7 linked regions of the Sus scrofa genome follow. The protein of the gene in region 7 purifies or fractionates together with the protein of the main gene of each other region. This does not show direct contact. Links are inferred from orthologs where the notes say so. Each region holds a gene or a part of one and is shown on either strand. Other genes may lie near its edges.

The links.
Region 1: the proteins of CLK3 (region 7) and HSP90AB1 purify together in Homo sapiens (affinity purification with mass spectrometry; 3 studies listed by BioGRID and IntAct, with this or other methods). This does not show direct contact. The link is inferred for Sus scrofa from reciprocal best matches to the Homo sapiens genes CLK3 and HSP90AB1.
Region 2: the proteins of CLK3 (region 7) and GPATCH8 purify together in Homo sapiens (affinity purification with mass spectrometry; 3 studies listed by BioGRID and IntAct, counting the BioPlex papers as one, with this or other methods). This does not show direct contact. The link is inferred for Sus scrofa from reciprocal best matches to the Homo sapiens genes CLK3 and GPATCH8.
Region 3: the proteins of CLK3 (region 7) and PSME3 purify together in Homo sapiens (affinity purification with mass spectrometry; 5 studies listed by BioGRID and IntAct, counting the BioPlex papers as one, with this or other methods). This does not show direct contact. The link is inferred for Sus scrofa from reciprocal best matches to the Homo sapiens genes CLK3 and PSME3.
Region 4: the proteins of CLK3 (region 7) and CDC37 purify together in Homo sapiens (affinity purification with mass spectrometry; 4 studies listed by BioGRID and IntAct, counting the BioPlex papers as one, with this or other methods). This does not show direct contact. The link is inferred for Sus scrofa from reciprocal best matches to the Homo sapiens genes CLK3 and CDC37.
Region 5: the proteins of CLK3 (region 7) and TNPO3 purify together in Homo sapiens (affinity purification with mass spectrometry; 4 studies listed by BioGRID and IntAct, counting the BioPlex papers as one, with this or other methods). This does not show direct contact. The link is inferred for Sus scrofa from reciprocal best matches to the Homo sapiens genes CLK3 and TNPO3.
Region 6: the proteins of CLK3 (region 7) and FAM192A purify together in Homo sapiens (affinity purification with mass spectrometry; 3 studies listed by BioGRID and IntAct, counting the BioPlex papers as one, with this or other methods). This does not show direct contact. The link is inferred for Sus scrofa from reciprocal best matches to the Homo sapiens genes CLK3 and PSME3IP1.

What each region holds. Positions count from the first base shown.
Region 1 is NC_010449.5:39,242,413-39,246,687, reverse strand, and holds the start of HSP90AB1 (heat shock protein HSP 90-beta), read right to left. Parts: upstream 2,915-4,275; 5' UTR 2,673-2,914; intron 1,294-2,672; coding exon 1,147-1,293; intron 856-1,146; coding exon 649-855; intron 548-648; coding exon 388-547; intron 244-387; coding exon 110-243; intron 17-109; coding exon 1-16. UniProt on the Homo sapiens protein: Molecular chaperone that promotes the maturation, structural maintenance and proper regulation of specific target proteins involved for instance in cell cycle control and signal transduction. Undergoes a functional cycle linked to its ATPase activity.
Region 2 is NC_010454.4:18,775,176-18,779,433, reverse strand, and holds the start of GPATCH8 (G patch domain-containing protein 8), read right to left. Parts: upstream 2,931-4,258; 5' UTR 2,816-2,930; coding exon 2,771-2,815; intron 1-2,770.
Region 3 is NC_010454.4:20,032,402-20,036,749, forward strand, and holds the start of PSME3 (proteasome activator complex subunit 3), read right to left. Parts: upstream 2,946-4,348; 5' UTR 2,945-2,945; coding exon 2,903-2,944; intron 2,410-2,902; exon of another isoform or gene 2,395-2,409; coding exon of another isoform or gene 2,320-2,394; intron 2,218-2,319; coding exon 2,185-2,217; intron 2,062-2,184; coding exon 1,999-2,061; intron 1,804-1,998; coding exon 1,699-1,803; intron 498-1,698; coding exon 449-497; intron 1-448. UniProt on the Homo sapiens protein: Subunit of the 11S REG-gamma (also called PA28-gamma) proteasome regulator, a doughnut-shaped homoheptamer which associates with the proteasome. 11S REG-gamma activates the trypsin-like catalytic subunit of the proteasome but inhibits the chymotrypsin-like and postglutamyl-preferring (PGPH) subunits.
Region 4 is NC_010444.4:69,209,928-69,214,455, forward strand, and holds the start of CDC37 (hsp90 co-chaperone Cdc37), read right to left. Parts: upstream 2,983-4,528; 5' UTR 2,889-2,982; coding exon 2,787-2,888; intron 1-2,786. UniProt on the Homo sapiens protein: Co-chaperone that binds to numerous kinases and promotes their interaction with the Hsp90 complex, resulting in stabilization and promotion of their activity. Inhibits HSP90AA1 ATPase activity.
Region 5 is NC_010460.4:19,648,831-19,652,574, reverse strand, and holds part of TNPO3 (transportin-3), read right to left. Parts: intron 2,860-3,744; coding exon 2,743-2,859; intron 1,140-2,742; coding exon 1,045-1,139; intron 1-1,044. UniProt on the Homo sapiens protein: Importin, which transports target proteins into the nucleus. Specifically mediates the nuclear import of splicing factor serine/arginine (SR) proteins, such as RBM4, SFRS1 and SFRS2, by recognizing phosphorylated SR domains.
Region 6 is NC_010448.4:19,140,759-19,144,502, forward strand, and holds part of FAM192A (protein FAM192A), read right to left. Parts: intron 1,708-3,744; exon of another isoform or gene 1,574-1,707; intron 1,141-1,573; 5' UTR 1,126-1,140; coding exon 999-1,125; intron 461-998; coding exon 362-460; intron 1-361. UniProt on the Homo sapiens protein: Promotes the association of the proteasome activator complex subunit PSME3 with the 20S proteasome and regulates its activity.
Region 7 is NC_010449.5:58,906,742-58,910,996, forward strand, and holds the start of CLK3 (dual specificity protein kinase CLK3), read right to left. Parts: upstream 2,876-4,255; 5' UTR 2,770-2,875; intron 1-2,769. UniProt on the Homo sapiens protein: Dual specificity kinase acting on both serine/threonine and tyrosine-containing substrates. Phosphorylates serine- and arginine-rich (SR) proteins of the spliceosomal complex.

The sequences.
Region 1 (4,275 bases), about 20 Mb from region 7:
CACGTTCCTTCTCCAGCTGCAAGTATCAAAGATGAAAATTTCAGACTACAGAAAATAAAAAACCAAGTGTCTCCTGCAGCAGACAATTGAGTTACCAGTTCATACTCACATAAAGTGTGATGGGATAACCTATGAACTGTGAGTGCTTCTTTACCACCTCTTTCACCCGTCTCTCTTCTAAGTATTCTGTCTGGTCCTCCTTAAGATGCAGAATGACCTTGGTACCTCGGCCAATGGGCTCACCTAGAAAGTCAATCAAAACGGAGTGAAAAAGAAAACTAAGTGCTGAACAACAAAGACCAATGTCTCACCATTAGAATGCTCAAGATCTTTACCACTGTTCCCTCAGAATTCTATCCCCGACACCCAACAGGAAAATCAGCCTACCATGGTCAGCACGAACTGTGAAGGAGCCCCCAGCAGAAGACTCCCAGGCATACTGTTCATCATCATTGTGCTTTGTGATCACAACCACTTTCTCTGCCACCAGGTAGGCAGAATAGAAGCCAACACCAAACTGTCCAATCATGGAGATGTCTGCACCAGCCTACCAAAAAGTTTTAAAAAGTCAAACACAAGTTTTGAAGAAACAGCAAACTAAACATCAATGAATATGAATGGTGCATGCCTAGCTGAAATACCACATACCTGAAGAGCCTCCATAAATGCTTTAGTACCAGACTTGGCAATGGTTCCCAAATTATTTATGAGATCAGCTTTGGTCATGCCAATGCCTGTGTCTACCAGAGTCAGGGTGCGCTCCTGGGGGTTGGGGATGATGTCAATTTTCAGCTCTTTACCACTGTCCAATTTGGAAGGGTCTGTCAGGCTCTCATAGCGAATCTTGTCCAAGGCCTGAAAATACAAATTGCAGTTTTACAATTCTGCTTCCACCTCATCCAATAGAAAAAGTTTTTTCCTACTCCCAGATAACCTCATTTCTGATAACCCCTTTCATTTGAAGCTTGAGACGTACATCCAGTTAGAGTACGCCATCTATCCACATAAAGCAAGGCAAAACCTTTTTAGAATTGAAGTTTATATTCCCTTCAAAAATAAAACCCACAAAATGCCCAATCACCCCTCTCCTTCTTTGAAGTACTCGAGAAACAAACAAATGCCAATGAAGACGCTCAGGGAACTCACATCAGAAGCATTACTGATCAACTCCCGAAGAAAAATCTCCTTGTTGGAATAAAAGGTATTGATGATGAGAGACATGAGCTGGGCGATTTCTGCCTGGAAGGCAAAAGTCTCCACTTCCTCCTCGCCATGGTGCACTTCCTCAGGCATCTAAAATAAGAGAGATGAAGAACTTTGGACTCAAGTTCACCCCAATTACAATAAAGACACTAAGAGGTTCAGTTCAAGTTGTTCTGAACCGAGTACTGAGATGCAAGACCTTTCCTTTAAAGACTTCAGGCTGCGCCCTCAGTCTGAGAATAAGAGGGGCGGGGGGGGGGGGGGCTGCTAATACAGCCCCCAAAATGCCTTAAGGTCTCTTAAGCATTTTGTTAGGATGTTAGGCGATCCATCCACGGATCAGCAGCCTCTCATCACCTGGTAATCTCTTAGGCATGCAGAGTACCTCGCCCAACCCCGGTTTCTTAAATGTGAATAAGCAGAAGACCTACATACATATTCAAATGTACAAATTAGTAACTACGGTTCTACCATTTCTGGTGGAGGGGAGGGAGCCCCCCCCCCAAACAGACCAGTTTTACCTTAAAGGGGCTATCATTTGAAACTGCTCTCCCTTCACCTCCAGGAAGATGTGAAATTGCTACCTCACGTGGTAAGGGAGGCTAACGCGAGAGAATCGTGGGATACCCACTTGGGATGCCATTAAGACAAAGAACCGATAAAGCAAAAGGCTCCACTCTGTCCCTGTAGCACACGTGACTGAGGTACAGGACCAAACCAAATACAACTAAGATGGTGGCGTAGTCCGCGGGGCCGACGCTCGTCGATGCCGGACATGCGTCGGCCAGGACCACGCGAGGAGGGGGCGCCACCGCGCAGCCTCCCTTCGCCTCAGCATCCGGGCACCAGGGCGGGGCGCCGAGTTCCAGAACCTTCCAGAACAATTCCAGCCAACGGGGAGAAAAGAGGACGACGAAGAAATGCTCCCATAAATTCTCAAGCCTGCCTCCTCCGCTACCCCTCCACCCTGACTGCAGGAATGAGCTCGAAGCAGGAAGCACGATGGGCCACTGGAGCTCCAAAGCATCCTTTGCCGCAAACCCTCACACTAAGGACTAGAAAAACTCCCTTCTATAAAAGAGATGGCAAAACCTACCCAGAACCATGCTGTGCTGAGTCACACCGGGCCCGCACACCCACCAACCTTGCCCACCCTCTGGCGCCCCGTAGTCGCGTCCGGAAGTAGAGGGGCAAACATGGCAGCGTCCCGGGCCGGCGCGGCTACCACGTGTAGCCGCCCAGTCCCCCAGCCCCACTCGCCCAGGCCTAACAGCCGCCTAGAAGGCCCGACACCAAGCATGGAAGGAAAAGCTAAACTCGAGAGCTCCCTTCCACCCACCCTCTAAAAAAATTGGGAGCGTTGTCCAGCAAACCGCCCCAGCACGACAAAAACTTGGGTCTCAGAAAGGACAGAATGGACGAAAGCAACCTGAAATTTAACCAGAAATGCCTTAAGAGTGCAACCTTACCTTAAAGGATAAGGATCACAAACACCACAAAGCTGAGCGGGGAAGGACTGCCTCCGGCTCTCACGCCAGAACAAGGCTGCGCGGGGGGTGACTCAAGAGAACGGCTGTGAGACCCCAGTCGCTTTATATAAGGCGAAGCACACCTTCGCTGCCCGCCCCCAGATCCCTCCGCCTTAAAGGAGGCTGTCTGTCAGCCCCGCACCTGCCGCTGCCCGCCCACCTTTACGTCATGGTCCAAAATAGGGGAGGGGGCGGTGAAGAGCAAGGGCGCGCATGTGTAGACTTTTTCTTAGTCCCATCTCCGCGTCCTGAAGACAGGACACCACCAGAGCTAGATGTTGGGTATACTCATAGGACAAATGCCGTGGCTCTAGGGAACAGAATCCCCGCTGACCTCAGTAAAAACCTGTAGAGCAGGTGCCTCCACACCAAAGAATCCCAGAGGAACACCTGAAAGGGGACCAACTACTCCCACCTATGCTCCCTCCCTGCTACAATCTTCCTTACACATTCCTACTGCCCAATAAGGGGAAAGGGTCCTTTCCGGGGACACTGGGGAATTTGAAGCCGAACTTTGGGCAGCCCGCGAACCCTGGCACTCCCAGGGGACAATGGGCAGTGCCAGCGTCTCGCTGCGGGGCGTGGCTTCCGCTGCTAGAAGGTCGCCGGCTCGGGTGTGGAGGGCACTCTTTGTCTGCAAGCGGCGGAAGGAGCGACAGTGGCGGTGCTGCGATCTTCCAGCAGTTTCCAGATCCGCCTCTACGGTCCTGTCCCGCCCCGCCCCGCCCTCTTCCCTTGGGGCTCCACCCCTTTTTCTGCGGACTGGGCTGTGCCTCTGCGGCGGCTCCGCCTCTCCAACGTTATGCTTGAATCTCCGGGAGAGGTGGGCAACTTCGATCCTATGTTGCTGGCGGGCAACTACACCCGGCACCCTCTTCGCCACCCGCCAGACCCAGCTCGCTCAGCATTGCGTCCAGGGTGGGGTGGAACAGGGATGATCCCCCCTTTCTCCCCCGTCAGTCACACAGCACACGGGTTATTGGGGCGGCTCTGCGAGAACCGCCTTCGGAGCCGAGACTGAGGGTGGCGTCGCTACCTGAGAAACCCTCCCCAGCCTCTGCAGCCGCCCACGCGTGTCGCACGCAGGGGCATGCACATACAATCTGGTTTCCTTTTCTTTTTACAAAAATTCTTTCCCCTCCTGCAACTGTCTAGGTCTGGGGAGGGGAGGATCTCCAGGGACCCCCGCTGGGTGGCGGGGGTTCTAGGAGGTGGCATGAAGACACCAGCGCCTTCATGCTGGCCAAAGGGCTGCTCGCTCCTGGCGGGCAGAACCAGGTTGTTCCCCTTCAGCTGCTGCGGCGCCGGAGCCCCCAAGCCAAGCGCCGGCCCAGCTGCCTCGCCTGGCCCTGCCGCTTTTGCTTGCCTTCGGGGCGGGTACGCTGTCCTCGCCTTTCCAAGGCCTCATCTCTGGAGCTCACCCGCCCCACAGCCCCTCCGGGAGAGAATGACCGCTCCCTGCGCCGTGACCTTGTGGATGCCCAGCAACTCCCTCAACTCCCTTCGTGGCCCACTTTGTCCGCCCCTGGAATGCTTGGGAGAG
Region 2 (4,258 bases), on a different chromosome or scaffold from region 7:
ACTATACAAAACACCTTTGAAACTTTAGATGTTCACAACATCTAATAGTGATCCCATCTCTGAGTCCATACTAAATTCAAGTGACAACATTCAAACTCCCCAAACTTTGCACTTGGTGGTAAACTGGCAAAGAATAAAATTCTACAATTCTAAATTATCTTGCCAAAATGTGACAGAAAGGCAAAGACAGTGATAGTCATCTAGAACTCACCAGAAAAGGTGCACAGAAAAATTTCCAGTGCTACAAGATCTGTTTAAAGCAACAGCATCTGTGCACTTTGTTTGGAAACCTACTCTGGATTTGTTTTCAAGTGTACTCCATAGCGTCATCTCATTTATCACTTAAAACCTTAAAAGGAGGCCACAGTTAATTCTGAATAGCCTGACCTTGAACAATGTTTCAAATACTCTATATACAGAAGCATCTTTTCTCTCCAATTTTTTTTTTTTTTTTGTCTTTTTGCCATTTTCTTGGGCCGCTCTCGCATATGGAGGGTCCCAGGCTAGGGGTCGAATCGGAGCTGTAGCCACCGGCCTACGCCAGAGCCTCAGCAACGCGGGATCCGAGCCGCGTCTGCAACCTACACCACAGCTCACGGCAACCGGATCGTTAACCCACTGAGCAAGGGAAGGGATCGAACCCGAAACCTCATGGTTCCTAGTCGGGTTCATTAACCACTGCGCCACGACGGGAACTCCTCTCCAATAATTTTAAATCAAGTAACATCACTAATGAAAATCAATCTACATTTTCCCCTACATTAAAACATCCATGAAAAAATAGTACTTTTAAGTATTTTTAAGTAAGTGATTTTCAGAAATGTTAGCACAATTAATAGAAAGTTCTAACATTCTGTAATTATCTAAAAGGTTTTTATTACCAACACCGTATTTACCCACAATACTAGGATGTCTGAATTTAAAAAAACCAACATTTACCTGGCTGACACAATATAGTAGGAATTGGGTATTCCAACTTAAAAGCAATAAATAAAATACATGTAGTATCTTCAAAGAATTACCAAGCAACCAAAAGCAGGTCTCCACTAAAGCAACAGAAAAGAGAATCATTTTACTTGGAAAAAAAAAAAAAATAGAGGTTTTCTCGATTTTTTCAGGTGACCACATTCATACTCTGCTCTCCAGTTTTCAAAAACTGTCAAGGCCCTGCAAATCCTGTTTAAGACTGCTGAAATCCTGTGGCTGACAAACACAAAACTTAATTGTCCATATTATCTATTTTCAATTTTACTAAGTGACCTTCAAATTACCTCCTCTTAAAAGTATTTGAGGGTTTTAGTTGTCACCCGTCTCTTTAAAAACTACCAATAAACCCCACACATCCTGCAGCTTACTCATGTTTTATGGTGCTCCCTAAAAACAAAACCAAACCCACCACCTTTTCCAGAGATCATGTCCCAGGGAAACGGCTAATATGAACTACTTCAAACTTCCCTGGACTTGCATAATATCTTCAAACACCTTGAGATCTTGTGTAGTGCTGCAGCTATACAGCAGGCGCCTGATCACAAGGCTTTTCGACAGCCCCCAGATCCCTTACTGCTGCTGCAAAACTTCTCATTTAGCGTTCTATGCATTAGACTGTTAACAGTGTTGGCTGAACTGCTTTACCTGTTTATTTACCAACCCAATCTTCCCGGGGAATTCAAACCATTTCAAACTGCCTTTTGAAACCAAACTAGAATATCCCCGTGTTGCTGAGAAAGATCTGCAGCGGGATAAAAACTTGAGTTCGGTTGTTCATCCCCAGACCCAAACTGCTGTTGCTGGGATATGCGGTAGTAATGCAGTGGTTTCTTTGAGACTCTGAGGATGTCTTTTACCCTAGAAAGAGCCCATCTCTACCAAATGCCCTTTAGTCGCAGAGATTTCTGCGGTAACAATGCTCAACAGGAAGGTATTCGAAACAGCCGAAAGACGTGTTGTTCTCATTTGGCCTTTATTTTTTCCTCCATAACGCCTGCCATGGCAAGGACATTTTTCCAGACAACATTTGCAACTTTGGAAAGAAAAATCAAGCCTTTGATACTAGTCATCATCTGCTTGTAAAGTCCGTTATCATGACGCTTCTTACAAATCGCTCAAGGTAGGATTTGGGGCTAAGCTTACATCGACCATCTTCCAAGCTGTTTTGCAAGGCCAATTAACGGCCTAATGACAACAACAACATTTCGCCCAGGAAAATCTCATTGTGTGACTAACCAAGAAGGCATCTGATAAATAAAGCCCCTTTTTTCCGGGCAAGGAAATGATAAAATAGACAATGAAAGGGATTTATTTGTTACAGTGAGGAAAGAGGGAGAAGAACCCCAAGAAGAGCCGTACGAGCAAAATCCAGGGGTTCGGGAGCCCTGGTTTCAGCAACACTCGCCCCAAGCCCTCTGACCCCCACCCCACCCCCCCTTTGCCTCTGGGAGCCAACCTAGCGCCCGCACACGCCCGGCACACCCGAGGGCAGCACAGCCCCCCACTCAGCCGCCAGGCTGGGGCTCCCAAAGCCGCAGCCGGAACAGACCGAGGCCGCAAACCCTGCCGCCTGAATTAAGAGGTAAGAATACGAGCTGAGAGGAGATGCGGCCTCGCCTCAAGCTTAGGAGGCCCCTGGAGGAATCGGACGCGGGAGAAAAGGGAGCCGGTTCGGAAGCCGGAGCAGAACGGGGGGGTGGGGGTGGAGAGCTGGGAGCAGGGGATGAGGAGGTTCTGGCGCGGCCAGCGCCTTCCCCGGATCCTCGGCGACGCCCGTGTTTACCTGAAAGTCTCGGTCCTCGTTGAAGCGGGAGAAGCGGTCCGCCATTTTGCCGCCTTCACTCCTCTCAGGACGACGCTCTACGGTTCGCTCCGTCCCTCCCGCGACACCCGCCCCCTCGCTCCCCTCCCCTGTTCCCCGCCTCCTCCCACGCCCACCCGCGCGCGCAGGCGAGGGAGGGAGGGAGCGAGATTGCGCGTCCCGACCCGAGCCCCGCTGGCGCAGGCGCCCTTCTGCCCCAGGGGCGGAACCTCCCCTCACGTCCCCGCTCCGCGCGCGACCCAGAGCGACCCCCGGCGGCCGCGCGTGCGCACTCGCAGCGGAGGCCTGCATGCGCTTCCGGAGAGAAAGGTCAAGAGGGGGCGCCGCTCGCTTGGGTGCGGATGTTTTCCACCTGCTCGTTTCTCCCAGTAGGGAGATGTCTTCTTGCCCTCTTGCTTGCCTAGGAACGCAGAAGCCCATCCTCTGCTTTCTTCACCAAATAAGAGCATAATGTAGTGGCTGAAAGCGCGGATTTTGGACCCAGACTATTAGGTTCGAATCCCGGTTCACTCTGAGGATTGAGTGGCGAACGAGACAGGAAAGATCTCTTCTCTCATAGTGCTTACAGGGAAAACCAGATAAATAATAAAATAATTACATAATTTTAAAAATTAACGAGTGCTACCAAAAAACCAAAAAGGCAACAAGAGCAAAAAACCAGACTGGTCATGAGAAGAACGCCCTCTGAAAAGACCTTTGACCAAGGAACAGAAAGGGGCCCGGCAGCCTTGGAGCACTCAAAGGGCCAATGACTACTAATAACGTGACATTTTCTAACGATCATTAGAGAGAAGTATTTCCCAAGAGACCAAAGTCTATTCAAATCAACTACAGCCCTCTGGGCTTCAGCTTCCATTTAAAAAAAAAAAAAAGGAAATTGAATTCAGTAATCTCTACTGCCCCTGCCTAGCACTGACTTTGTATGAGTTATGAATCAGATTTTTCCATCTTTTGACCTTCCTGAGCACCCCACCCAGCCCTCCAGCTCCCTTAGCCAAAATACATAAAACCATAAGAAAGACAGCTGGACTTGCCTGCTTTTCCAAAGAGTAGCTGATGGAAATCCCACGGTGGAAAAATGACTCTTTCTCTACCTGAGAATCAAAATGAAGGTAATTTTTTGGAAAGAATGTGTGTATCTTCTATTCTTTTGTCACACTTTGCCTCACCCAACTCCTAGTCCAAGAATATAGTTCTAAGCAGTGAAAAGAGCTGCCTCTTTGTATAAGGAGAGGCAGAACACTCAGAATTTAAACATTGTGAAATGACTTGTGCATAAATGTGGCAACCTGAATCCCATGGATACACAAAACACATTTACCTCTTCTCCTCTTAACCCCACTAAAATGACATTTAAAGGATAAAGTCATAGGGAGTTCCCATTGTGGTTCAGTGGGTTAAGAACCCAGCTAGTATCCATGAGGATGTGAGTTCGATCCCTGGCCTTGC
Region 3 (4,348 bases), on a different chromosome or scaffold from region 7:
CCCTCCCTGTTAAATGGAAAATTACGGAGTTCCAGTCCTGGCACAGTGGAAACAATCCAACTAGGACCCATGAGGTTGTGAGTTCAATCCCTGGCCTTGCTCAGTGGGTTAAAGGATCTGGCGTTGCCATGAGCTGTGGTGTAGGTCGAAGATGCGGCTCAGACCTGGCATTGCTGTGACTGTGGTGTAGGCCAGCAGCAACAGCTCTGATCAGACCCCTAGCCCGGGAACCTCCATATGCCGTGAGTGCAGCCCTATAAAGACAAAAAAAGAGGAAAGGAAAATTAGGTTTAGAGTACTAGACAATGTCTGGAGAGCTTAGGAATGCTAATGCTAGGAAATAAAATCAGATCCTGCTTGCTGGACAGGAGAGCACCAGATCCATCCTGCTTCTCAGGGCTGCAAGCCAGGAAGGGTTGGGGTAGGGGACAGTGAAGGTGGCTCTTACCTTGGAAGGCCTCTTCACATTCATCCAACCTTCGCTTCTTGTAAGTGGGCTAAGGATACAAAGAGACAAGAATCAGCCTATTCGACACTCACATCCCCACTGCAAGTTACCCTTCTAGCAAGTTTAATCCCTACCTTGACTTCACAGGTTGTCTTATTAATTTACCCACAATTCACTAAGCACACACAAAGCTTTAAGAAAAGGTTCTTCCCACAAAGCAACTTACACTATAGTTGGAAAGACCAACTTTTCAAGAAATATAACACATTAGGCAACCAGGGGAGGGGTGGATACTATGAACAACAGAAAGAATGAACTACTGAATGCAGAGTGAGTATAACTAAGGGGATTATAAACAAATGTGCTTGTTCCACAAAGAATATTCAATCAACAAACATGTATTTAGCACTTGCAAGGAACAATGCTAGGTGCTGGGGATACAAAGATAATTCAGATAGTTTCTCCTTTCCAAAAGTGCAAGTTCTACCCATGAGACACCGACGGATAAATAACAATATATATAGCAGATAAATAACAATATGGGGTCATCATTGTTATAACAGAATGTGGACATATTCTAAAGACTAGTTGCTAAAGATACAGAAAGACGGGGAACTGCAGTTATATAGCAAGAACAATTGCCCCCTCCCATAACAAGACTCAAGACACTGAAACAGGGATGAAAAGTCTTGCCTAGAGCCATGGTGACAGACCAGGTAACCTGAGGGACCTTGTCACTATTAGCCCTATTTTCAACTCACTCTAACAGAGTACCCATTAACACATGCTACAAATGAAAACCGGGGACCGAAGGGGGTGTACCAAAGTCATATGTCTGTAAGAATCCTCATTCCGGGAGTTCCCGTCGTGGCGCAGTGGTTAACGAATCCGACTAGGAACCATGAGGTTGCGGGTTCGATCCCTGCCCTTGCTCAGTGGGTTAACGATCCGGCGTTGCCATGAGCTGTGGTGTAGGCTGCAGACGCGGCTTGGATCTCGCGTTGCTGTGGCTCTGGTGTAGGCCGGTGGCTACAGCTCTGATTCAACCCCTAGCCTGGGAACCTCCATATGCCGCGGGAGCGGCCCAAAGCAATAGCAAAAAGCCAAAAAAAAAAAAAAAAGAATCCTCATTCCCAGATCCAAATCCCACTGTCCCCTGTACCCCTGTACACGTTCAAGCTGACCAGAGACTTGAGGACAGAGCGCCTACTGCTTCGGCACACACACAGAGATAAATACAGGATACTTACACCGTCCAGTCCATCATGGCTATTGGTGAGAAGAATGGGGTCAGGGACTGGGAGATTCATGTCTGAGTGGATCTGAGTTAGGTCATGGATGTTTAGGATTGGCTCCTGAAAAGAGACGCCCACCCCCAAAACATCAGTCTTTTCAAAATGAACAAAGAAGTATTTCATTTCAAGGGCAACATATGAAGACGGCTTTACAGCACAAAACAAGATAGAATCAACACGTCATTTGTCCCATTTGACAGAAAGACCAGGGCCAAAAAAACTGGGGACTCTGAGGAAAAGAAAAGGGTCTCTCACCTTCAAAAAACTATCAAGTTCTAACAATTTCTTTGGGAAAAAATTTGCCACCAAGTCTTCTGCCTAAAGATGAGGGAAAATATAGCTGAATTAGTAACTGAGGGAAGGTCTGTCTCTACAGACATCTCTTCTCTGGAGAACTCCCAACCATTAACCAATGCTCGATTTTCTACTTCTTTCACTCACCTCACTTGTAATCCGCTCCCTGAAAGAATCAACCTAAAATTAACAAAGAAAGCAATTCAGTAAGAGCAAGTCAGTACCTGGCAAGAGAAGTATGGGCAGGATGGGGAAACCCAAATCCAACTGTCTTTCCCTCACCTTGTAATTGTAATGAGAAGCTGAGAGGCCCCCAGACTGCAAATACTTTATTTTTTTAAGGATCCATTTCTCCATCTCAGGAGAGGGAAGCGGGGCTGGAGGGCAGCACCCACCTGTCTTCCCTCCCTCCCTCCCTTTGTCTGTAGCTTGTCTGAATTTGAAAGCAGACAAAAGACAGGTAGATGGGAGAGGCGTGAGCTCACAAACATGTCAACCCCCATACAAACCTGGCCTAGGATGTGAGGCAGGCCTGACGCCAAGGGCAGGGGCAGTAGCAGCGCCCAGAGATGGGGACGTTGCTGGGCTGGGGGGACTTCCAGCTGTCACTGGCCTAAAGCACTAAGTCCACCACGTGTCCGCGGAAGTCTCCCCGGGGCTCTCCACCATTAGACAGGGTACAGAAGGCCACCCCATAGTAGCGTCTCCCCCGATGCCATCTCTGGGAGTGGGGGGCTGGGCTGAGCCGAGCGGAAGCTCAGGGCTGGTGTCCCCAGGGAGACAAAGACGCCATGGGGAGTAGGGAGCCAGTCAGACAGCTCGAGGATCGAAGCAAGGAGTAAGGAAGCCCGGACCGTACCCCTACCTTGAGCTTTACTTCCTGATCCACCTTCAGCAACGAGGCCATGGCCGGGCCGGGCCGTGTCCGCTCCGCTGGAGACCGGAGGCGCTGTGGGCTCCGGGGAGAGGGTCAGAGGGACGGGAGGAATCTCGGCTGCTCTCGGGACGCGGCCGCTCTCGCTGGCCCACTCACTGCTCACTTGCTCCCTCCCTTCGTGCCGTCCGTCCGCCCGCCTGCTGCCTGCTGCCTGCTCTCTCTCGCTCGCCCTCCCGGCTTTCGCCGCTCACACCGGAAGTTACGTCACAGCCAATCGCCGGGACTCCGAGAGGATGTGCACGTGCCCTGCGCAGCCGCGCTGAGGTTCGGCTCTGAACGATGGTAGCTCTGCTCCTATCTCTCGGCTCCTGTGCCCGATAAGGGTGAAGTAAAAGGGAGGGCAGCAGAGGGTGGTGGAGTGAGATCGGAGTCTCAGAGAGACTCGAGGACCGTTTGCCTCTCTGTTATTCCGGCACTCACCTTCACCGAAGGGACCGTCGGAGGCGCTGCTGCCTGGAGTGGGGGACCCGACAGAAGACGCCGTCGCGCCCCGGTGACGTCGGCCCGAGGAAGCCGGTGGTACCCGCGCTGGGTTCGGGGCGTCTAGTCTCTGATTCCTGCTGTCTCCTCCTCTTGGTCCAAGCTCTCATGTTAGGTTGGAGCCTGATAGGAAACAAGTCCTGTTGTACCAGGCTTCCCCGCCTTTCTCTGCCATTTAGCCGCTTACTCCTAGACCTCAGAGATCAAGTGCCAGATGTATGGACAAATTGATGCCTGTAGTCTGGCGGTGCTTGTCCTAGGCTACACAGTGTTTACAGTATATCCAAGTCCAGAACTCACATCTCCTAACTTCTAGGGCAATGCTGTATCCATTTTCCTCGTGGAAGGCGGAGACTGTATTCCCCCCTACCCGACTTTTTGTCGCCCAGCCCCGCCCCCCACCCACCGGAGGCAGGTGGAAGTTCCTGGGCCTGGGATTGAACCCTGGAGACCGCAGGGAATGGAGCCTCTGTAGTAACAAGGCCAGATACTTAACCAGTTGCACACAGTGGGAACTCCCCAGGCTGTCTGTCTTAATTCACCCATTCATCTGTCTTATAGCATTGGTTATTTCGCACAACAAATCGGAGTAGGCTCTGGGACAGCAGTGTCTCAGAGGCTAGAAATATAATGTGAGTCACTTATGTAAGTTAAATCTTGTGAACTGGAGTTTCGCATTTACGGTTACTTGCCATCTGCCTCTACGTGGATTAAACCATGAGCCATGGCAGCTGCTGACCTGCAGAACCCACTAAGCAGAGCTCAGGGTGGAAACCAGGAGTGAGGCACTCTGTGCTATGGGAAAACTGGAAGAATAGGTCTTTCGGATAGTTAGATCTTTCTTATTTTTTATTTTCTCGGGCTGCACGTGAAACTTGGAAGTTCCTAGGCTAG
Region 4 (4,528 bases), on a different chromosome or scaffold from region 7:
CAGGAACGTACCACGCTGCTGGTTTCTGCTGGGTAGCCATCGAAATCTCGGCATCCTCTGAGCAGCTGCCAGGAGGCCCAAGCTAAATAAAGGACTCCTGGAGCGGTGAGGGTGGCAGCCTGCCTGGCATGGGCTTTACAGCTCTAGGAGGGGCTGTACCCAGCTGGGCAGGGCAGAAGCCCCAGCAGTGAGAAGGGGCCACAGGTGTCACTGACACCTTGCCTTATACATAAGGGAACCGAGGCTCCCAGAACCTTGATGCCACATAAGCTCACTGGAAGGGGCCACAAGAAACCAGTACTTATTTGTCTCTGGGCAAGGGAGCCAGGGAGGCAGGGAGCTGGAGCTGGGAGGACTCACCTGTCCCCTCTGGAATCTTGAGGTTCTTTTTTTTTTTACCATGAGTGTGAATGACCTAAACGATGACAAAAACTAAAGTCTCCACAGAACTTATTCCATCCGTGTGCTGTCCTGAGAGTGTTAACACACATTAAATACAAAAGGTGATCCTCACAACAACCCTATGGGGTAGATACTGTGAAGATTCCCTGCTGGGGAAATGAAGGCACAGAGCAATCCAAACTCACTGGGAGGGCTCCCACTGTGGCACGAGACAGGTGGCATCTTGGGAGCACTGTGACTCTGGTTCAATCCCCGACCTGGCACAGTGGGTCAAGGATCTGCCAGTGCCACAGCTGCAGCTTTGGTCACGACTGCGACTCAAATCTGATCTCTGGCCTGGGAACGTCACATGCCATGGGGTGGCCAAAAATGAAAAAAAAAAAAGAAAAGAAAAAGAAAAAACAACTTGCCAGGCAGTAAGTCTGTGATTCTGAAGGAGCCAGGATCTGAACCCAGGTGGGCAGGCCTGCGCTCAGAAGCACTCCAGGCTATTTGTTCTAGAATCCCCTCTTTCCCTCTGGAATGCTTACTCACTTCCTATGATTGACTCGTGGAGGTGGGGGTCTTGCTCCCCCTAGAGTAAAGCACCAGTGTCCTGTGGCAGGGCTGGGATAAGAACCTAGGCTTGCCTGCCACTGAACTTGGTGCTGCTGGAGACACCAGGCTCTCTACCTCCGACCCTCTCCACCGCTGCCCAGGAACTCTCAGTAGCAGGCCAGGAAAGAGTTTTGGCCAGGAGGGAGAAGGGCGTGGTGAGAGGAAGACGAGGTAGGAGAGGGGGCACTAGCCTGCCGCCCAGCAGGACCAGAACATCCACCACACAGTGGCATAGATTGACTATGTGACAGTAATCCATGTTCCTGAGGATAGTCTTCAGAGCTTTGCAGAGATCTTAAATATTTCATGATAAAATGTTACACATGGCAAGAAAGAGAGAAGTGCTAGAACTTTCTTCTTACACTCCAGCGGCTTGCCCAGCAGGGACACTACCCAGGAGACTGCTGCTTTAAGGAATGGGTTGGAACTAGCACTGGGTAGCAGATGTAGGGACTCATGCTGTGTCTTGGCAGGAAGGGGAAGAGCCCTTCTAGGAGTTTCTAGAAAAAGGACTGGGAGCTGATACACGGAAAAATGGGGTGAGGAATTCCTAACTGGAAGGTTCTGAGAGGTATATGCCCTGAGTTTCAAAGTCTCATAGGCACAGGAATGTGGGTGCCGGAGCTCTGATTTTGGGGAGCAGGAGGCTAGAACATTACATCTTAGGAGGGCTATTTTGCTGGCCTGTGAACACTGCTGGGTGGGAGAAGGGCAAGAGAACAGACTTTGGGATCCTGGAGTCTGGATTTGGGGAATAAGTAAAAGTAGGGCAATGAATCTGGAATCAGACTGGGAGGGTTTCTGGTAAAAGCAGGGTCACTCTGGGTGTCTGAGATCAGCAGTCCATGCTAGGGTCAGAAGGAAGAAGGGGTGGGTTTGGGTCCTGGACTTGCATTTGAATGAGGCTTTCCAAAGCTGACTCCTACAGGAAGCCTGTCTTGGGTGGGGGGGAGAGTTTGGTGACTGGGTCTGCAGTACCAAGCAGGGGCAGGGGCTCTAGCTGGGGGGAAGCCACGTGGGTAGGATTTCCTGACATAATGGGAAACTGGGTCTACAGTATGTGAGGCTGAAGGAGAGTGGCCGGAATTGGAAGCTCCATCAAGGGTAGAGCTGGTGGTTCAATCTGAAAGGGAACTAGGTTTCAAAATGCCAGTCCTAGATGGGACTAAGGATACTGATGGGCACTGGTTTAAGTTCCAGGAAAGGGGTCCTGGGTGTGGGCTGGAGTCCCACGCCAGGAACAGAAATCTCAAGGAAGGACAGAATTCCTTGTTGTATTTAGAGGATTTCTGGATCTAAACGGGAATCACCACTGGGACCCAGAAAGGCCGATCGAAGAACAGACTTACAACTTAAAGTACTGGGAACTCTAGGGATTGGGAGGGGCCCATGGGATGTCCAAGATCACAAGGGGGTACTTGAATAGGATCAGGGTCAAGATTCTGAGGTAAGATTCGGAGCGTAAATGGAAGGTCCCAAACGGAACTGGGGGGGAAGCCCAAAGCTTGTCTTGGTAGTTAAACTCTGAAGAAGGTGCCCTAGGGGTGAACTGGGAGTTCCAAGAAGAAATCGGCAGGGGGAGGCTCGGATAGCAGGCAAGGGACTCAAGGGTCCCGGAAGTTCTGGGATCCCGGAGTTGAATCGAAGAACCCTGGGCGCTACTGAAAGTCCAGACTGTAGGGTGGGAATCTCAGGTGTCCATGGCCGGGTTCCTAGCAGTATCTGAAGTCAGAACTCTGAAGCAGAGACCCGGGAGTGGGGGAAGGGGCTGGCCGCGCGCGCTCTACCTGGTGCCTCCAGCGGAAGAGGCTGGCAGTGTCGATATTGGGGTGCGTCTCGTCTTCATCGTCAGACACCTCGATGTGATCCCACACGCTGTAGTCCACCATCTTGCCTTGGCGGCCCAGCCAGCTCCGACTCTGGCGGCGGTAGCGGCAGCACGGAGACTCGGACCGCCGAGCCCCGCCCCTTCCGCTTCCGTCTGGGCGCGCACGCCCCCGCCCGCACGTGACGTCACATCCTTAGTAACCCTGGCAGCGGCCCTGGCGACCGAGTTCTTAAAGAGCCCTGCGCACGTGTCCCAACTCCTGGGATTCTCCCTCAAACCTCATCCCATCCTGCTTCGGGCACTTCCTGGGGGGTATATGAGTGGGTTCTCCAACCTCGAGCCCCGCTAATCTCCTGCCGCCGCATAGTGGGCCTTTACGGCGGCCGTAAGTGAGCAGTTGGCGAGCCTGAGGGAGAGGATTGTCCTCTTAGCCACGCTGCAGTGACGTCAGCCCTAGCCCACTGCTGGGTTCCTTGTGAAGGGGGATTTAGCTGTGTTGGGGAGGTTGTCTGATATGGAAGGACCTTCCCAGTCCGAGGGGTACAGGACCCTGTCCTGGGAGGGTCTAAGTGAAGGAAGGATATGGCCCTGCCCTTGAGGGGTTGGAGGTGATGGGAGTGCTGTGGCTCTGCCTTGGGGCCTGGTGTTTCCCCGGCTCGAACCACAGCCTCCTCCTCGCTTCTGCCACTCCTGAACGGGGATTCGCGCGCCCCCCTTCGGAATCACCCAGACTTCATTTAACTAGTCTCGGGAGCCGATCCACAGCGTCTCCCCGTGCGGCCGCTGGGTGGCACCAATGTCTAACTAGCGGCCAGTGCTTCTGGCCTCACACCAAGTGGGGAATCTTTCCCGGTGGTAGTGCTCTAGGACCGCTAGCAGGCCTTCCCCTTTCGTCTGGGGCCCCTTTTCTGGTCCTGGGCTCTAAGGACTCTTACATTGAGCTTGAGCGACCCCAGCCACACACTTTCATATATCCCTACCCACGCTTTGATACCAGGATAAAAGGCCGCGTTGCAGCCTAGGGCCGGGATTATCTCAGATTAAAGGATGCTCCGATGGCGTGGGGGATGGGAGAAGCTTCAACCACTTGCGTGAAGGGCGCCTCTTCCAGACTCCCCCAGAGTGGGCGTTTGGAGGGAAAAGGCTGGAGAGAAAGGAGTAAAGGTCTCTAAATGGGGGCGCAGGGGGGATGGGAGGGGATTCCCCAGTCGGGGGAAGGGGAGGGGACACGTCCTGACAAAGCTCCTGCCCGCTGCCTCCCCTCCCCCTCACGCTTCATTCAAACCGGCAAGGAGGCGGGCGGGGGCGGGGGAGTCCCCCTCTCCTCCTCCTCCCTCTCCAGCCCCGGCAGTCCAGCATCTCAGCAGCCGTCACGGCCTGGGCTCGCGCGCGCACGGACCCACACCTCAGGTCTGACAATCGCGCGTGCGCGCGCGCGCACACACACACACACACACACACACACACACACACCAGCAAACAACAAAGGGTCTGGACACCCCTGTCCCCTCCCGCCCCCCAGGCCGGAGAGGGCGGGGCATCCCCTCCCCAGTCCCCCTGCAAGGTAAGATTTGGGCTAAAAGCTGCGGTGGGGAGGGGAACCTGGCGCCCAAGAGGGAGGGGGCTAAGACGGAGGGAGTTTTCCTGTCCCCCAGAAAAGTCAGGTACCCCCCATTAAAATCAAAGTCCCCCCTGTACGCC
Region 5 (3,744 bases), on a different chromosome or scaffold from region 7:
TTCTCAGATCCTCCAATGTACCTAAAGAATCTCCAAGGAAAAGATAAAATATTGTTTCCAATTTATTTTAATAGGCAACGATTTGTGTAAAGAGCATCTCCAGAGATTAATTTTTTAAGGAACACACTGTGAAAACAGACTGATAGCCCATCCAACAATTCTCTCACACCAACTCAAAATAAGGTTTTTCTAACTTGTCTAAAAACTAACCAAAAAAGGTGCTCATTACTCAATCCTAAGATGAAATAGTCAATAACACTTTACATTTGTAAATGATAAAAATACATAACTACATATATAATACATATATTTAATAATGGCTTATTATTTTATAATGTTTTTATGTTTACCAAGGGATAGGGGTCAAATTCCTGAGCTAGGGACTCAGAACAAATACAAATGTCAGTGTTACATGTAAAAGAAATTTGAACAAGTGGGGGGTAGCAGGCTAGGGGTAGAATTGGGAAGTACAGTACCAGGTAACTTCTAAGGCATCTTACAAGCCTAAGAATTTTTGGCGTTCCCGCTGTGGTGCAGTAGGTTAAGAATTTGACTGCAGTAGCTCAGCTTGCTGCTGAGACATGGGTTTAATCCCAGGCCTAGGAACTTTAATATGCCTCAGGTATAGCCATTAAAAAAAAAAAAAAAAAAAAAAAAAAAAGCCTATGATTGTATCTAAAGGATGATAAGCTTCTCAAAGAAAGAGCTAAGTTAAGCATGATATCATAGTAGCATAAAATATTAAAACTATACAGGATTCTAGAGACTGGCTAGTCAAATGTTCTTAGACAGCTCATTTTTATTGTCCTGGGTGTGTACCCACCTTCATGAAAGGAACTCATGCTTTCTCCTGCTCCCATCCAACTCTTCTTCACTTATGGAGATATTCTGTTTCACGATTTAACTTTTGGGTTATGAATCATTAACCTACCCACTCTTCTTACCTCATTTTACAGAGAAGGGAAGTTACGTGTTAGGTAACAAGATTAAGCAGTGATGGGGAAGAGCAGCAGAAGAAAGGGACTGCCCTTCAGAAGCACTGACCTGGTGGCTAGCCTGAATAAGTCATCCACGGTGTCAGGGTGATTCTGAAGACCATTCTGCTGTTCTAAGAGCTGAAAGGTGGGGATACACAGTGCCTAAAACAGAAGTTATTTAAAAATAAATGCCTGTAAATAAATGCCACAGGATTGAGACTTGCTAAATAGCATAACATACAAAGAGAAGGGAAGCACAGATAAGAAAAGAAAAAGACTTCAATGAGAATCAGGAGTTCCCGTCGTGGTACAATGGTTAACGAATCCGACTAGGAACCATGAGGTTGCGGGTTCGATCCCTGGCCTTGCTCAGTGGGTTAAGGATCTAGCGTTGCCGTGAGCTGTGGTGTGGGTCGCAGACGCGGCTTGGATCCCGAGTTGCTGAGGCTCTGGCGTAGGCCAGCAATTACAGCTCCGATTCGACTCCCAGCCTGGGAACCTCCATATGCCGCAAGAGTGGCCCAAGAAATAGCAAAAAGACCAAAAAAAAAAAAAAAAAAAAAAAACTTCAATGAGAATCAGATCAAGAAAGGGAAGACAGGGGTTCCTTTGTGGTGCAACGGGTTAAAGTTCCAGTGTTGTCACTAGCGGCTCAGGTCTGATCCCTGGCTCAGCAACTTCCAGATGCCATGGGCGCAGCCAAAAAAAAAAAAAGAAAGAAAAGAAAGGAAGGAAGGATGTAAGCCTTTCTTAGTTGGCACAGTCTTCACATAGAACATTTCAGAAAGGGTTGAGGTATAGATTTTAGCTGATGAAACTGGATAGATATCACCTCAAAGTTTTAGAAGTTATTAAAAGTGAAGACAATGCTTATGCATTAGATATGGTCTGGTCCACTAAGGGAGAAGATGAAGTTTTAATAACAATAATGAAATGTCAGTTTTAAAAGGAAAGACATCTTGGGAAAAGCAGCATATGATTTAATCCCCTAACGTATTTTCTCCACTATGACTAGGAGGGAGGGAAAAGAAGCAGATCAGGAGCCTTTCCTACTTCCTGCTACTTATCTTAAGACCATATCCCTGCTATGTAAACCAGTTAATTGGGGGTTCCAGGCAAGAAATTAAAAACAGAATCATACTTGAGCTTTCAAATCCTTTAATTTAAATCCACTTGCCGGGAGTTCCCGTTATGGCTAAGTGGTAATGAACCTGACTAGTATTTATGAAGATGTGGGTTTGATCCCTGGCCTTGCTCAGTGGGTTAAGGATCTGGTAATGCTATGGCTGTGGTGTACGCTGACAGCTGCACCTCTGATTTGACCCCTAGCCTGGGAACTTCATATCCTGCAGCTACGGCCCTAAAAAGGAAAAAAAAAAAAAAAAAAAAAAAAATCCATTTGCCTACCTTCCCAAAAAACCCTATTTCTGGAAGGCATAAATTAGGCTGTAATAACTGCAAGGAATAGCACATTTCTGTGGTCAATCTCTCTCTCATTTTACCAAGCAAGCCTGTCTACTGTCCAGAGAACCACTAGGTAGTTCTACTTTCATGTTATTAGGAAATCATCATGACTGGGAGAGAAACATAAAGAAGCAACAGAATTAACAACATAATGTACACACCGAAAGTGGCACAACATTGTAAATTAACTATACTTTAATCAAAGAAAAGAATTTTTTTAAAAAGACATGGTGAAGAACACAATGCCTGGCCTTTAGACCCTCCAAGCCCAACACATCTATATTCCCCACAGAAAACACACCTGGAGCATGTCTAGTAGTCCCTGCCGACAGCCCTCTTCCATGCCATATTCATCCACAAGGATACTACCAAGGTACAGGAAACAGGAATGCTGATGTACATGGTAAACATTCACCATCTGCCAAGGGAAAAACCAGTTAGTTCAATTTTTCAGCCCTCAAAAAGAATCAGCTTAGCTAGCTGTCTAGAGGAAGATATTCTGAGATAGATAGGCAACATTTTTTAAAAACATAGGCTTCAATTCCTCAATAATTTCAAGTACTCTATTTAGAGTTCTTTTAAGCCTTTGACCTTTTATCTTTCCAAAACAATGCAGTAAGAATTGTATAATACTTCAAGCTAGAACCATTAAAGTGTTCATATCCAAAGCTTGTATAATATTTGTTAAAACCCTAACATAGAACATCTAAATTTTCTAGCCTACAGGTTGCTCTTATTTGCATTAAAGATTATTCTTTTTTTTTCTTTTTGTCTTTCTAGGGCCACACCCTTGGCACATGGAGGTTCCCAGGCCAGGGGTCGAATCAGAGCTGTAGCCGCCAGCCTAAGCCACAGCCGCAGCCACGTGGGACCCGAGCCGCGTCTGCGACCTACACCACAGCCCACGGCAACACCGGATCCTTAACCCACTGAGCAAGGCCAGGGATTGAACCCGTAACCTCATGGTTCCCAGTGAGATTTGTTAACCACTGAGCCACAATGGGAACTACTAAAGATAATTCTTACTGCTTTTGGCTGAACCTGTGGCATCCAGAAGTCCCAGGGTCAGGGATCGAAACTGCACCATGGCAGTGACCCGAGCCACAACAGTCACAATGTAGATCCTTAACCTCCAGGGCACCAGGGAATTCCAGATAATTCTTTTCTTTAAAGAACCAAAGCAGGGACAAATGATCAAATATCATCTTAGAGGAGACTGTGAAAGCTTTATTAAATTTTGAGTTGTTTCTAAACCCCTCTATTTAATCTTTTGAGTAAAATCAATGTTTCTTTTTTTTAAATT
Region 6 (3,744 bases), on a different chromosome or scaffold from region 7:
AGGCTAAAGAGAAAATACAGTCCAATAAGATTTTTTTTTTTAATAAACAGTGTATCCTTCAGGGGATTAGAAGAAAGAATTTGTAAACACTGTGGCTTTTGGAGAGATAACCTGGCATAAAATCAAGGCTTCTCTCCCACTACTAGATATTAGCATAGAATTAAAATAGGCTTCTTGAGTTCTAAACAAAATGTTCTTTGTAGTCTAGATGGTACAAAGTTATCTCTTTTCCACCAAATGAGCTTCTAGAGATTAGATAATCAAGACAATTCCATGGCTAGTTAGAAAGTGTTGCACGAGGCAAAAGTGCACCAAAAAGGCCCTATACAGTTGCTTGGATGCTGTGTTTTTTGAAGCTTACTGAATTTGAACTGTTCCTCATACTCCTGCTGCTTCCTGTCCTTCTGTTCCTGTAGCCTTTCATATAGAGAGCGAGGGTCATAAACCTCCTCTGGGCATTCTGAAAGAAAGAGGAAGGGAGAGAAAGGGGGCAGGAGAAAGGGAGGGAGAAGGAAAAAAAAAACCAAAACATATACTTTAGAATACTTTCATATTCTTTTGGAGCCACAAAGGATTTTTAAAGATAAAGTCAAGTCTCTGCACGATCTGATGGCAAAGATAACACAAAAATAGTTCAAAGTCCACAGCTACCCTTTGGACCTCAGAGAGGGGCCAGCAGTTCTCAAAGCCAACTATCAATGTCAATAGGCCCCGGCCTGAGCCGGTTAACTGGATGAGGCACCCACCCAAACCCAACATGGTAGCAACACTCTCAGCTGTTCAGAGCCTGGATCCACCTGTATAGATGGAAGAGACTAGGGGAACCTCCTGGAAGACAGTGTGATAGGTGCAAAGGGCAAGGATGTGAGGATCCTGGGGCAGCTCCCAGCGACGGAGCAACTCTACAGCAGAATTAATGACTTAATGAAGACGTGAATACCTACTTTGCACAGGATTAAAGATCACTATGTTGAATGCCAGACTATAAGCCTATGTACCTTCTGGATCTTCAGGTTTTCGAACTTTCTCCCATTCTTCTTGCCTCCTTTTGCGCCGTTCATCTAGTTCTGCCTCAGATACAAACCTCTTTTTGATAACAAGGTTACCATCATCCCCTCCATCCATAATGGAACAAGAAGTCTACAAAAAACAAACAAAATATTTCAAGTGAGAACTGCAATTAAAATTACATAGAAACAAGAAGATTGAGCTCTGTCTTCCCCCAGCAACAGACTACTCAAATTCCTTTCAACCCTGAACTAAAGCAGTCTTCAAATAATTTACAGGTAATTGATGAAAGCACATGATTACATTTTCCTCGTGTATCAGATGGTTTCATTAACCATCTATGTTATCTTCAAAGTCACCGTGAAAACTTAGAGTAACTCTCATGATAGGCCATTCCAAAGAAACTCTTACATCCCAGATTTTTCTCTGTCCCTTTCATCTAAACAAATTGGCCTCCTGAGCTCCATATCTTTTTCCCAGTTCTTATCCTCCATTATTTCTATAACATCTGACATTGTTCCATCTCGAAATTCCTATTTCAGGGACATGACACTACTTTACTCACCTGTACCTTACTTCCAAGTAGATTCAGAAAGGAGAAACGCAGGTATTCAAGGAGGCTTAGAGATGAGTCTAGTCTGTTCAACAGGGAAGGGATACACCTAGAGGCACTCAAACCACGAGTGGATAAAGTGGAGGCTAGAAGAACCAGATCGCCTAAGTTCAGGTTCAATGTATTCTGCCCTCTGCTAAACCGACACCTCCCTTCATCTCTTCCTGTCCTTCCTCCCTGTAAACTCCCCATCGGTGCCACTTAGTATTCTATCCTCAGTCTTTGTCTTTTTTTTCATTCCTATAATAACCTCAGCCATTTTATGCATATGTTGATGTAGAAGACTCAAATCCCTGACTCTTCCTTTAGAAAGGAGGGGAGGGGAGTTCCCATCGTGGCGCAGTGGTTAACGAATCCAACTAGGAACCATGAGGTTGCGGGTTCGATCCCTGCCCTTGCTCAGTGGGTTAAGGATCCGGCGTTGCCGTGAGCTGTGGCGTAGGTCGCAGACACGGCTCAGATCCCACATTGCTGTGGCTGTGGTGTAGGCCGGCAGATGCAGCTCCAACTGGACCCCTAGCCTGGGAACCTCCATATGCGACGGGAGCAGCACAAGAAAAGACAAAAAGACAAAAAAAAAAAAAAAAAAAAAAGAAAGAAAGAAAGAAAGAAAGGAGGGGAGAAGGAAATAAAGACAGAGGCATGTGTATGTGTATTACTTCTTTTAAACTAAACCTTCCTGCTTTTCTTTGCTGGTTTCTTTCCTTTTGAAGAACTGTGGAATTAACTCTATGTTAATAATAACTCATACATTATGAGCTATTCGTAGAAATAAATCCTAACAAGGAAGCACATATTCTACACTACTCAATGTCTATTCCAAGATGACCCCTAATAACAAAAAAAGAAGCCTCTACTGCTAGCACAAAAATGAATTAATTACCATTTACTCTCTTACTACCTACTAAATACTTTAAATGTATAGTATCTCTTTTATGCTCATACTGACCCTAGATACCATCTCTTTACAGCTGAAGAAATGGAGGTCCAAAAAAGTTAGGTCACTTGTCTAAGGTGATAAAGGTGGTGAATGATGGAGATGAGAATCAAATCCAGGCCTGACAGCAAAAATTCACGCTCTTACCCAGGTGACCATACCCCTCCCTGGAAATCAGGGATCCTGGGTGAAAAGAGTTCAAACTCCAGTGCTGAGAATGTTCATGAAACATTTTTCTCTAGTCAAGACAAAAATGTAAGCTGAGAAAACAAATCCAAACATGCAGAACAAGAAAATAGTCTCAGCTTAAATCCTACTGTAGCTGAAGTCTAGTTCAAGGTAACAGTAAGAGAATTTTTTAATTCACTAGAAAGAAAACCAGATCAACTGACAGAAGCTGTTGCTGCCACCTAAATCCCGCAACCTGGACACTTCTGATTAAGCACTACTCAATGTCTCTAGCCAGAGACCTAGTACAGAAACATAATTGTTTTCGTAATTTTTTGGCTCTGTGACTACGCCAAAAATGCCAAAAATTCAAGTGCTACAGAGTGAACTCTAATGGAAAGAGAGCCAACATTTTCTTAAATGTCTCTGGCAGAAAAAATGTCAACTATGTAGAACTCTAAGGGACAGAAGAGACATACTGGACATTCATGTGCCCTTTCTTAGCTGTAGCTCTCTTTTCTCGTCCTCTATTGGCTGTCTGCTTTCTTCCCCTCACCCTTATTTCCTGGTAAATAATTCAGAACATGACAGGTCCTTATAGCCCACCTAACATGATTCTCCAACTGGCAATGGAACCTACAGTCCATACCCAGGAGATTTTCAACCAATCCTTATTTCAAGATTGATCACTGCCCTCCCTTCCAGGCAGCCAAGCCTCGGAGCAGATCTGACTAGTATAATAGTTCTTAGAATTGACAGAACTGAAATAGACAGAACTGAAATCCATCCCCCTGTAAATTCCACACACAGGTTCGATGCACTGGGACGTACACAAACGGAGCCAAATCCCCTCTTCAGCAGACAATGCTTCAGTTGTTTGAAGACAACTGCCATGTTCCCCCTAATTTGCTCCTTTTCTGGGTCAAACATTACTAGTTCCTTTAATGTTACATAAAATGGAGAAAAAAGCCTCAAAGCAGTGAAATTATCAAATTGCATATGACTTAAACCTGAGAAA
Region 7 (4,255 bases):
CTCCTGTGCTCAGTTCCCTCCTGCCTGTCTGTAGGGTCCTAGGAAGTGCCTTTTCTGTCAAGCCAGAGGCCAGAGTCAAAAGGCTGCTGGCAGGAGTCAACACACAGGAGCAAAGGGTGAAAGTCCTCAAGTTTGAAAAGCCAAGTTGTCTGGCTGAGGCTCTGGAACTGGACCCTACACAAGGGAGCAAGGACCACAATTTAGTGTGAGGAGCCACTGGCAGAAACGAGAAGACCAGCCCTTGGAGAAAGAGGTACACGGGGCCCCACAAACATCCCTTGGGGTCTGGCCAAGCAGATATGGGGGTCTCTCCAGCCCTTCATGGTCTCTATTCAGTCTCAGCATCAATAAAGTCCTCAGAGCAACCAAGTTTCTTGCCTGAAACCTATTTAGCACCCTCAGACCACCTGCCACTGGTGCCATGCCAGGCAGTGCCTCACCTCTATCCCACTACTGTCCCCACTTCTATATTCTGAATTTCAGGAGGAACTAGAGGATCGGCTGTCTGGCAGGCTGTGTGCTTGGGAAAGCAGGCCAAAGGGGCCCCACCTCCCTATCCCTGGTTCAGTGTGGACTTACAGCCACCACAGGAAATTGCCATCTTGGATCAGCCATCAAACGAGAAAGATGGGTATGTGAGGCCAGCTCCCTGTTCCACCCACAATCCAAACCCTGACACTGCCTCCATAGGAAGGCTGGGCCTGAGCAATCCTTCCAGATAAATACTTTGTAACACCTCCTCAAGAGCTCAGACTGCTGCTCTCTTTTGGTGATCAGCTGACTAATGTTCACTGTTTCTCCCCAGTTAGGCTGGGTCACGTGACCAAGCTGTGGGATGAAGACGGTATCTCACATCTGTGTCACTAAGTGACATGGAAGATGCTTCAGTGGCCAGGGCAAAGGGCTTGCCCATCCTCACTGGGCAAAGCACCAGAGCTGGAAGTCACGGGGTCTAGTCCGTATCAGGCTAGACTCCTTCCTGGGACCTAGAAGATTCTTAGTGCACACATGTTCATGTTAGTGGAAAGAGCACAGCTTCAGTCACGCTGATGTCAACATGAATGCTGACATGGCCACTTCTAGCTTGTGCCTTTAGGCAGGTTATTAAACACCTCTACCCTTCAGCTTCCTCTTGCAACAAAGGAACAGTAATCACTTACAGGGTTTATGTCACATCTTAAAGTAACATGCCTAGTACATGCCCTTGGGTCAAATGCCTAGCATGGGTCACAAGAGATACTGAAGGCAGCTTTTCATTAAAAAGTTTCCAAGTAACACCTCTGGGTCTATGTTAAATGCCTTAAAAGCATTAAAGGTAGTTCATAAGTCCCAAGGGAGCAGAGGGGAGAGAGGTATAGGTAGAAAACCCTATACCTAAAGTAAATCCCAGTGCTGCCACTTGGCCTTGTGACCTTATACAAGTCACTCTGGGCCATGGTTACAATATCTGGAAAATGGAGATATGACCACCTCCCAGCCAAGTTGGCAAAGGGAATGACAAATATGAGAGATATAAAGTATCACACGCAAGGCAATCAGAGAGGACATAATCTCCCCTGTTTTAACACATTCTAGGCAGGTGAAATAATGGTAACACCAGATGCCCCTCATAATCCTCCCAGCTAGGGTTCTAGGGCCCATTTCTCCTCAATTATCTCTGATTCTCTGAGACCCCAGCAAACAGGTTGTAAAAGAAAAACAAGGGCCACAATTACGTTCCAGAAGGCTCTGCTTGGCACAATTAAGAAAAAGGTAATGTGAAAGAAACCAGGGCGAGGATGCCAGCTTTTCTCTGAGCACAGGCCTAGCTGTCTTCTCATTTGCTGTTCCTGGCCAGAGAACTGGGTTGACAAGAGCAGCCAGCCAAGTCAGCGGCAGCCCTGCCGGATCCCAGCCACCCCAGCGCCCCATGGTTATTTTTGGCTGACGCTGCCCCAACACTGCAACCTCAAACCTGCCACCTTGCAAGCCGCCACCACCGGGAGAAACGCTCCTCCTTTTCAAGGGCATGGAGGAGGGAAGCTGGAAGGCCGCCAACTCCGCCTCAACGGGGCCCTGGCTCAGGCGATTCCCACCCCAGCTCCACACCAGGACACCCGCACCCGGAACTAAAGCACAGAGACTCCTGGACCATGCAGCAGCCCGGGCATTTGTACTGTCAGCTTGGCTCGGCCCCTCCTCCGGGCTGGAGCGGCTCCATCATCACAACAAAACAATCAGGGGGCCCGCAGCCCTCGCTCGCGTCCTTCCTGACGCCGCGGGTCCCAGAGATCTGAGGCGGGTTCCTGGTAACCGCCGCCAATGGAGGCGAGGGGAGACCTGGGGTGGGGGAGGCGGGCAGGAGGAAAGCCAGCTTGGGCCGGAATCAGACTCCAAGCCGCGCGGAGAGGAGGAGTCTGCCGACCCAGCCTCGAGCCAGGGTTAGGGGAGGGGTCTGAAAGCCCCTCCAGGCTGTCGCAGGTAGGACCCTGACCCCATTCCGCGGGCAGGTATAGGGCCGAAGGTGGATCCCTGCAGGGCCCTCAGGGGCCTCTCACAGGTTCGGACTCGGACGCACAGGATCGAGAGACTGGGGTCTGCTGTGACCGCCCTCTGGGGGAGAAGCGGCAGGTCAGGGGTGAGAGGTCGGGGCCGCGGCCTGAGATGGGCCAAGAGAACGAAAGAGAGCAGACCAAGCCCGAACTAGAAGCCCGGGGACCCACACCCAGCGTACCCGCCCCTCTGACTCAACCCCCCGCTCCTCGTCGCGGGCCAGGGCCCCACACTCACCGTCTCCCAGGCTCCGGCTGAGGCTAGGCCCCACTCCCCGCTCCGAGCGCCTCTTCCGCTTCCGGCTCCGGCCTCCGCCCGTGGCGGGCCCGCCCCTCCCGTGACGCAGCCGTCGGTCGACTGAGCTCGGCGACTTGGCCCCTCTAGCCGTGAACTCGAAGACTCTGGAGGACCCGCCCTGTCCACCTGGGTCGCTGCGGCGGCGGTGGAACCTGGTTCCTGGAGGGCCGAGGGGATGTCCCCAGCCGCGGCCCGCCCCCTGCCGTGTCACGAGGCACGTAGGCCTCAAAGATGCGGCGGGGGGCACCGGTGGACAGGCGCTGAGAGCCGAAAGGTGGAGCCCCGACCCCGCCCAAGCCCGCTTGGCCTTTCCTTTCCTGAGCGCCGGGAGGAGGGCATTGTTTCGCTGTCGCCTCAAGTGAAAACTGGGTAGGCCTTGAGCGCCAGCCCGGCCTCGAGGCCCTGGAGGGCGCTAAAGCCCACGGAGGATCGGGAAGGAGGTTCCCGACTCCCGCTGATGTGAAAGAAGCAAATGAGACCTTATTCATGTGTGGAGGAGCTTTTTAAAGTCATGGCGGCGCGTCCAAGCCCGGTGTATGTGCACTGCAGTTTCTGGGAAGATACTGGAGAGTCACGTCGGCGGGGCCTTTGAAGGGAAAGGGACGGGTTCTGGGGTAAAAGGGGGTCTCGTTTTCCTTGAGCATTCTTGGGCACGGCAGTGAGCAGACCAGAGTTGTTTCTTAGTTCATAACCACCCGCGTCCCACCCCCGCCGAAGAAAAGCCCCGCGGCCCCCCTCACTCCTATTTCTCCCCTGGAGTCACCTGGTGACCTCTCTGCCCCCGCCGCCGGCGCGGGCTCACCGAAGCCCCGGCCACCTACTGCCCCGCTCTTGGTCATAGGGAGATAAGGAGGTCATCTTTTCCAGATGAGAAAACCGAGGTCAGGTCCTTTGGGAGACCTCGCGGTTTATGAGCGTGCACTCCCTGGCCCCCCCCCCCCCCCGGCTCTCGCTGGCGTCGGTCAAAGAGGGCGGGAGCGGCCTCTAATTGCCCCCTAGCCACGCCAGGGCCCAAGAAGGAGGGACACAGCATCCTTCCGGGCCCCGCCCCTCCCGGGGACTGAACTGCGAAGGCTGCAGCATTTCCCCAGCACCGCGTGGGCCTGCTTGTCACCACCCCTTTCCCCAGCCCCGGCCCCGCCTCCGCCCTCGCCGCAGCGAGGGCTGGTCACGCCCCTGACATCCGGCTAGTCTCCCAGCCACTGAGGCGGATTCCAAAAGGAAACGACCCCTCCGGAGTTGCGAGGCCTCTACAGTCTCTAACCTCTAGTTCCCCCTTAAACTGGGGTCTGACGGCATGGCTTGAGCAGGTGCTTAGTACAAATCTCCGTTAGTTCCACCACTCCCACTGCAAGTAAACAACCAAAGCCAAGTTCAAACGGGTTGCTTACTACACTAATGCAGCCTCAAGACCGACTCCCGGTCC